Nothobranchius furzeri: one gene and its partner. The protein of the gene in region 2 interacts with the protein of the main gene of each other region in a pairwise test. Links are inferred from orthologs where the notes say so. Each region holds a gene or a part of one and is shown on either strand. Other genes may lie near its edges.

Region 1 (4,518 bases), on a different chromosome or scaffold from region 2:
ATCAGCACTATCGACTGAACAGCCAATTGCAGCAGCAGCAAAGATGCTGTTAGGAGGAAGTCACACTCAAACGGAAGCCACCATCAGAAATTTGTGTGTTCACACACCTCTACGAAGCCTTGCTTACAGGAGAAGTTCATGTTGATCTTTGACCTTCAGGAGAGAAAAGAAAAAGTCAAAAAGATGTGAGCGACAATATCTAAGAAGGAAGAAACAAAAATAAATGAAAAAGTTATAAAATGGTTTGATGTAAAGATTTGCCTGTTTGTGTTTGTGTCCCACCTGAGTGTCTCACCTGAGTGTCCCACCTGTGTGTCTCACCTGTGTGTCTCACCTGAGTGTCTCACCTGAGTGTCTCACCTGAGTGTCTCACCTGAGTGTCTCACCTGAGTGTCCCACCTGTGTGTCTCACCTGAGTGTCCCACCTGTGTGTCTTAGGAGTTGTGTACAACTACACTCAGGATGGCGTGCAACGGGACCAAAGCGGATGGGAATGCTGCATCAGTGTCCCGCTGGTCCGACCTGATATGTTCCACCTGCTGGATCAGTGGGACCAGTACCTGGAGCGTTTCTCTGATGGACCCATGTGGGATCCTGTGTGGCACAAGTAAGTTTCATGTGAGACATCCAAAGTTCTCTCCGACCACCACCTGACCACCAGTGTGTATCTCAGGTTCCACGAGGACGACCACAACTGCTTCAGCTTCTGTCTTCACTTCCTGAACAGCATCCTGGAGGCAGAGGGACGCAGCCCTCTGAGCAGAGAAGACTTCACCCACTGCTTCATCCTGCCCAAGATGAGGAGGGTGTCCAAATACACCACGCTGTACCAGCACATCCAGAAACACCAGTATTATGTGGTGGACAGACAGGAGGACACCACGCCCACCAGTTAAACCAACTTAATCAGGATGTCATTACCCCCAAAATACCAAAATTCTAAATTTAAATGTAACACTTAAAGAAACACTGCAGATATAAAGCAAATATCTAAAAACACAAACATCACCATAATGGAGAGGACCTCTGACCCGGGGGTTTCGGTGGGTTTGGTCTGTTCTGGTGTTTCAGAGAATATTTATTATTCATTTAATTGTCTGACATTGTGAATAAGTGAAACTGATTTCATGTTCTGTTTTTGTTTGAGTCTTTGGTCCTTCCTAACTTTGTTTTGTATTGTTTTATTTATTTTGTAAATAAAAATTTATGTGTGGCCTGTTTCAGACTCAAACAGAAACAAGTGTCTGAATCAATTAGAACCGTAAAGTGAACAAAAAGTCAACGTTTTAAAAGCTTCTGAAGATAAAGTGAAGTACCGGTTTATTGTAGATTATACTTCAGACAAAAATCACATGAAAATAACATTTCAGCTGTAGGAGGAACCGATAAAATTAGCCGATGTTGGCGCACGAACATATATTTAGTTACACTGCCTCGTCCGACAGTAAAACAAGTCCCCTCGCTGAGTGCTAACAGATGCGCTAACAGAATAATACCGACCCTACAGTTCTCACCATCAGCCCGGAACCAGCGCGGGCTCTGCCGGAGCCGGCACCATGCGGGCAGAGTTCCGGGCTCCCCAACGACGAACCCGGGTTTATGAGGACTACGAGGCTCCGCTGCCGGTGAGCCGGGACCCGCATGAGAGGAAGGTCTACCGAGCGGAGCTCATCAACCAGCAGGTTCTGGTCTGTCATCCGGACCACATCCAGAAGATCCACAACCAGGTCAGAGTTCGTTCACATTAGAAACCAGGTCTTGTTCTTCGTCTCCTGTCAGCCTGCCTTTAGTTTTTATTCCATTTCTGTCCACTCGGTTGTTTGGTTTGAATCGGAGGCAGGCGAGTCTCACGTAAAATGTAGTTTGTTTTGACTGACAGCTCTGGGTTGTTCAGAGATCCTTGAGACCTTCCACTGGTTCCTTCCCGGTTCCTCCACACTTAGCCCCCTGACCTTCTGAAAGCTGTCAGTAGAACACATCTAGACTGACCAGAGTTTGTTGTTTTCAGGGTTTCTTTGGAAAAGGTGTTCTGTCCAGAGCCAGGCCCAACCACAGCGTCTCGGACAAATGGGAGCGTGAGTTGACACCTGCAGTGATGTCACTGTCAGTCTGGTCCAGTCTGTGCTGTTCACACCTGGTCTCTGTTTGTGTTACAGAACACGCAGGTCTACTTCTGCCTGTTGTCTCTCCATCCAGGTCAGTGCCATCATAAGCTACCTGTTCACACAGTGACATCACTTCTGTTATGATGATGTCACACGTTATCTTTCACAGGTATGAGGAGCTGCTCAGATGGGCAAAGGAGGCTCTCTCTGCTGAAGGACTGGATGAAGAAGTGTTCGGTAAAACCCTGCTCGCGTTGACTCGGGCAGTGGACATTGAAGATGTAAAGAAGGAGTTGGGAGGAGGGCAGGCAGAGGGGGAGAACGGAACAAGGGAGGAGGAAGAAGAGGTGAAGCCAATAGAAGCCTGTGATCTCCCAAAGGGGCAGAGGTTGGAGTCAGAGGTGGAGCCAGAAGCCAAGAGAGGCTGCAGGTAAATGTAGACTGTTTTATGTCAAACCAGCACACTTGGCTTTGTTAGAACCCTGAAGGTCCTGCTAAAGTACCAATAAACTAAAGACATGGTTAAAAATGAAAGGTACAGGTGATATTCAAAAGGACTGAGAGGTCAAACACAAATTCTGGCTCAGGACAGCATTTGTAGAATGACAGATCAATCTAGAGTGAAGATTTTCATGACTGTGTTGAAGCTGATAGAAACAGCAGGTTCTTGGTCCATCTGAGCTTGCATGAAGGTCCAGATTTCTATCCAGAGAACTGCCGTTTGGCCTGGGAGGGTTCTTGGGTCAGTGCTATGGGGCTCTCTGTATCCCTAATGGGCCAACATAGACCAGCTAAATCCCCAAAAGAACCCCAGTGAGTCTGATGAAGCCCCAAGTTGGTCAACAGGCATAGGTTTATAGGATTTTAAATGCAGCAGAAAGCCTTTGAGACCAGGGAAACATAATGCAGGTACAGCAGTAGCACAAAGAGGCTGATGGAGGGAGCTGTGAATTCAGGCCAGCGTGCAAGGAGTTTTGATCAGTTGGTTTTCTTCGACCGAATAAACCTTTTTCTTGTCAACATTCAGATCAAATCAACAGGATCCTGATTCTAGCTCTGAACAGGACTCTGACTCAACCCCAGATTCTGGTCCTGATCCAGCCTCTGACTCGGATCTCGATAATGGTCTTATGGTTCCAGGTCCTGGTTTTGTCCTGGTGGTCTCTGAAGGTCAGGTGGGTCTCTGAAGCTGCAGGTCCTGTTGTGTTTCTGAGCTGCTTCTGTTGTTGATGATTTGCTGTCGTATGGCTGCAGGACGGAGGAGGAGTCAGAGAGGTGAGGCGGAGTCCACTGTCTTTCACAGAGTACCTGCAACTTGGTCTGGAGGAGGTAACACACCTGAGTCATGGACTTTGATTAGGTTTGCTTCAGTATTTACCTGCCCACTCACCTGTCTGCTGACCTACAGGCCTTCTTCCTGGTCTACAGTCTGGGTTGCCTTTCCGTCTACCTTCAGCAGGTGTGTAGTGTTAGTTCATCGCTTGGTTCCTATCATAAAGAGTTGAACTTGTCTCTGTTCTCTCCTGTGATTGGTCAGGAGCCACTGTCAATCATCCAGCTTTGGAGGAAGTTCCGATCGCTTCATCCTGACTTCATCAGCTTGTACGCTGCTTATCATCATTTTCGCAGCAAGGGGTGGGTCCCTAAAGGAGGAGGCGGGGCCAAGTATGGTGCCGATCTCAGTAAGAACAGAAATCACACAAATATCTAGTCAGTCAACAATCAGAGCAGATTTACCCAAAAATGCTCTGGTGCTGTCAGATTTAAGGTAACGATGATGACTCTGAGAAACATTCAGTCTGTGTTTGTTTCCAGTGTTATACAGGAAAGGACCGCCTTTCTACCATGCCAGGTAACACACACACACACACAGTCGTACTTGTCTCCGTATCCTTGTGTGGACCCTCCATTGACTTCCTTTCATTTTTGTGACTTCACTTTTCCTAATCCTAAGCAAAACCCATGGGGTTCTATTTTTAACCCTAACCTAAACTAAGTGAATTCACACCATACCTCTAGAACCAAGTGTTTGGGTGCTTAGCGTTGTGTGGACCAGCAAAATATCCCCACAGTGTAAAAATGTCCTTGCGTTACAGGTTAAAGTTAAAAGTACACACACACACACACACACACACACACACACACACACACACACACACACACACACACACACACACACACACACACACACACACACACACACACACACACACACACACACACACACACACACACACACACACACACACACACACAGAGTCTGCCAGTAGCTGTAGGAGTTTGGCCTCTGGAATAAATGATGGTTTAGTCTGCAGATCTACACTCGTATGATTGACGGAGATAATTTTACCATCTCTCATAAGTGAATAGATTTTTTTTCCAATACATTTTTATTTGTTCTCTGTTGCTGGAA
Region 2 (4,396 bases):
ATTCTCATTTACAATGATGACCGGGCCAAGAGGCAGGCAACACCATGAGATGTTGCTGAACATGGAGGGTGGGGGCTATACATGTAAGCACGAGTGTTAAATAAATGAGTTAAGCATATGAGTGTCACAGCAAAGGGTCTGAATACTTAGGATCATGTGACATTTCTGTGTTTTTCTGTCAGTATGGGGTGCTGAGTGCACATTAATGAGGAAAAAATGAATTTAATTGATTTTAGCAAATGGCTGCAAAACAAAGAGTGAAAAACTGACGGGGGTCTGAAAACTTTCTGTACTTACTGTATGTAAAGTCAAACTTCCTGTCACCCTTTTAAACTCTGAATAGTTTCTATTGTAAAATCATCCAGTGCTAAATGTTTTCTGACAATTTTTTTTTTACGAAAAGAACTATAGGGATGCAACAATACCACTTTTTTCCAAACCAATACGATACCGATACTTGGATCTGAGTACTCGCCGATACCGAGTACCGAGACGTTTACCACACAAAAAAATGCAATGAATTGGAATACAGGTTTTATTTTCTTCTCTTCTTTCAACAGGAAAAGACTGTGAGGAAGATAAAAAATAAAATATATTAATAGAAATTATCACATATGATCATGCATCCCTAAAATGAAATAGTTTAATATTATGAAGCATATTTGCATTCTTCCACCATAAATCATAAGAACATGTTTGTTCATTTAAAAGATGCGTTAATATATCATTCAGTTTGTTCCTTAGAGTACTAAATATAAAACAAGAACCTTTCACCAATAATCTCTGATGCCAGTTTGTTTTGAATTCCTGTTGCAAACGTAACTGCTCAGGTGTCAAAGTGGCAGCAGGTTATAAAGTCTGATGACTTTTTATGAAAGATAAAGTATGATTCTGATAGATCTAGTCCCCAAGAGGAAACAAAAAGCTTCTCCTAAGTGTCGACAAACTGATTGGCCCTGTATAAATAAATGTCCAGTAGATCAAATCTTTGCCACCAAAACTAACTTTCATTAAAAATCAGAGCTAGAAAATCCATCCAGCAGACTCAGACTGACATAAATGTCCTAGACACGTGATCCTCAGGGATAGACGTCCCGCGGCAGCTGGAAGTCTTTGAAGCTGTAGAAGGAAATGTCTCCGTGGTCGACGACAGCAAAGACAACGGGGACGTCTCCGCTCTGAAAGGTCAGCTGCTTGATGACTCCCAGATCAGGAACAGGACCACTGAAGCTGGAACAGAGTCAGCTCTGTGAGAATCATCGGCTGAAATTTCATCTGCAACATTGAGGAAATCACTCTGAAAACTCATCAACAGGAAACTAAATCTGAGAACAAAAACAAACTCACGGTGCCACAAGTTCTTATTAGCGTTCTCCTGACATTAACAAAGCAAAAAAACAAAACCATCAGTAATCTATCCTCATCAGAACAAAGGGCTGGTTCGGGTCGTGTTAATGGTTTCTCTGAAAGTCAATCCTGAATCAACAAGCACTCCGGCTGTCATCGCTCACCTACAAACACACATGCGGGCGTACGGCTTCCCCGGGTTGCTCTTCCTGAAGTCAGCCACCGAATCAGGCTGGTAAACATTGAAACAGATCCTCCACTCGTCCGCGCCTTTTAACCTGAGCAGACAAAAGGACACCGGCTCAAAGTCTTCGCTCTCAGAGAACAGCAGCACAAATAAAACAAACCCGAGCCCACGCTTTAGGAGTTAAAGGTCATAAAGAGTGACACGAATCACGCCCGATTTATCGTCTTCTTTCAAAGGCGACTCAGCGCCGACTAGGGTTGTCACGGTATGAAAATTTAACGTCACGGTTATTGTGACCAAAATTATCACGGTTTTCGGTATTATCGCGGTATTTTTTAAACGGTGTTGCATATGTTCAGAAAGCATTGATAGTCCTGTTCTACACAAACTGAAATAGTTTTGAAAAGGTTTAACAGTGTTTATTAAACCTAAAATAACACAAAGCCTTAGCAAAAGTGCAACTTTTCACAAGTAAAGGAACAAATAGCTTCTTTTTCTGCAACATGTTACAGTAGTCAGTGCAGGTTTAAATTATACAAATCCAAACATTCAAAACATAAACAATATGTAAACAAATCAAAGAAACACCACTTGTTTTCTCATATACTTGTTTTCTTCATTATCAAAATGAAAATCTAAAACTCCAGTCCACACTTGACTTGAGCACTGTACAAGTCAACCTTAAAAAATATGTATTTAAAATAAATATCCACTTTAAACAAATTACTAAAATTACTACTACACTATGTAATCAAATCCAAATGTTCAAGTATAAATGGCATTGAATAAATAAACAAATCAATGACAAGGAACTAATTGTATATTTCTCTTCATCATCAACAAATAAGATGCTTCATCCAGCAACAGGGTGTCCGTGACACGGTTTAAATGCTGGCAGAGAACGCTGCGGCTGCAGTATATAGTGACTCGTTGCATTCTCCCTCAACCAAAAGTCCTCATGTCATGCATTTAAGCTAAAATGCTAATGTTAACATTTATTAAATGTCATTATTACTACTATTACTGTTGTTGTTATTGGTAATGGTTTTTACTGTTTATTGTTGCTAGAGGTGCTGAAAAAACCGATTCAAGTCTGAATCGGGATTCTTATTTATAAAGATTCAGAATCGATTCACAAAGGTTCAGAATCGATTCCAAGAACTCAAACATTTGGCACGTTACAGGTTTGAGAAACACTTTTGTGATCTTTGTTAGGAGAGTCAATACTCCGATTACTTTCGTAAACATGGCCTATCATTCCATCTGTATGCTGACGATTACCAGATTTACTCTCCATTGTGTCAGGAGAAAGGTCACTCTATTCAGTCCTTTGTCTCCTTTGTTAATGAGGTGAAGTCTTGGCTAATGTCCAACTATCTACATCTGAATGAGGGAAAGACAGAGCTCATTGTTTTTCACCCCAACAGCAGGAATGTGGATCGTTATGCTGATCTTGGCCCTCTTTCTCCATACTCAAAACCAGTTGTTACCAGTTTGGGGGTGAAACTTGATGTAGGACTTAAATTTGATGCTCACATCAATTCTGTGATCCGGTCCAGTTTCTTTCACCTGAGACGCCTTGCTAAAATCAAGCATATGCTGTCGAGAGCTCACCTGGAGCAGGTACTGCATGCCTTTGTAATTTCTCAGCTTGACTACTGCAACTCTCTCTACGCAGGGTTGTGTCAGTCAACACTGCGTCGCCTACAGGTTGTGCAGAACAGCGCTGCCAGGTTCCTGAATGGGACCAGGAAACGGGACCACATCAGTCCAGTTCTGGCCTCCCTGCACTGGCTTCTGATTTGCTATCGCTCACAATTCAAAATACTCGTCTTTGTTTATCATTTCTTCCAGGGTGGTGCTCCCCCTATCTGGCCACACTCCTGAACAGACATTCCCCATCACGCGCTCTGCGCTCCTCTGACCAAGGCCTGCTCGCTGTCCCTCGGTCTAGGTGTCGTACCCGTGGGGACCGGGCTTTCTCAGTCCTAGCACCGTTACTCTGGAACCAGTTGCCACCCTCAGTTAGGCTGTCCCCTTCTCTGCCAGTCTTTAAGAATCACCTAAAATCACACCTCCTCCGCTTGGCGTTTCCAGAACATGTTTGATTATGGCCCTCTATTATGTTGAATCCATTCCACAGTTTTCATTGGTACACTCAATCCATCCACTCAATCCAATTGTGTCTCACACATTTGTATTTTACCGGAATGTTTCATCTATCTTGTAATTTCCATTTTGTATTTTGTAATTTGAATTTCTTTTATTGTTGATTTATTGTGTATAATTACTTACAACTGTACCATGTTCAGCGCTTTGGGCTTCCTGACAGGGTTGCGGAAGGCGCTTTATAAATAAAGCTTTGATTGATTGATTGATTACTTTTGTGGTCCCATAAATTGAGATGATTTATGTTTGAATCTGCTGATAAGAGGGCCCTTGAATGTCATTTTTTCCATACTCAGAAATTTGAGATATTCTCATATTCATTTTCTAAGTTGATAAATGAGTACTCAGGATTACTCATGTAACTTGTTTCTACACATACTTGAAAAGTATTTGACCATATTACTTTCACAGCTACTGTTAGGTAACTACAGATCATGTGTTATATTTTACAAGGTAAGCAAAAATAAATGTTGCCTTTTGGTCAAAAGATTGTTTCTGTTTACAGTTTTAGAATCACTTTATTTTACCTTGTAAATTTGCATTTTTGGAGCATGACCAGTTTAAAGTCTAATAAAAATGTCCCGTAGCTTTAAATAACTTGTACAACAAAGTAGTTCATCCTGGAGCCGACACTCTTTGTTAATACTGATTGTGAATCGATTTAAATCGAGAATCAATTCTGAATCGAATCGA

What was found.
Region 1: the proteins of tsen54 (region 2) and tsen2 interact in a two-hybrid assay, tested with the Homo sapiens proteins (2 studies listed by BioGRID and IntAct). The two-hybrid records come from large-scale screens. The link is inferred for Nothobranchius furzeri from reciprocal best matches to the Homo sapiens genes TSEN54 and TSEN2.

The regions. Positions count from the first base shown.
Region 1 is NC_091743.1:77,139,001-77,143,518, forward strand, and holds the start of tsen2 (tRNA-splicing endonuclease subunit Sen2), read left to right. Parts: upstream 1-1,427; 5' UTR 1,428-1,556; coding exon 1,557-1,727; intron 1,728-2,008; coding exon 2,009-2,075; intron 2,076-2,156; coding exon 2,157-2,196; intron 2,197-2,274; coding exon 2,275-2,535; intron 2,536-3,132; coding exon 3,133-3,280; intron 3,281-3,359; coding exon 3,360-3,434; intron 3,435-3,513; coding exon 3,514-3,564; intron 3,565-3,642; coding exon 3,643-3,787; intron 3,788-3,920; coding exon 3,921-3,957; intron 3,958-4,518. Other genes in the region: MKRN2 opposite strand protein, read left to right, coding at 439-607, 674-896.
Region 2 is NC_091745.1:25,422,015-25,426,410, reverse strand, and holds the end of tsen54 (tRNA-splicing endonuclease subunit Sen54), read right to left. Parts: intron 1,626-4,396; coding exon 1,512-1,625; exon of another isoform or gene 1,348-1,511; intron 1,276-1,347; coding exon of another isoform or gene 1,272-1,275; exon of another isoform or gene 1,231-1,271; coding exon 1,080-1,230; 3' UTR 1,056-1,079; exon of another isoform or gene 737-1,055; intron 568-736; 3' UTR 522-567; downstream 1-521.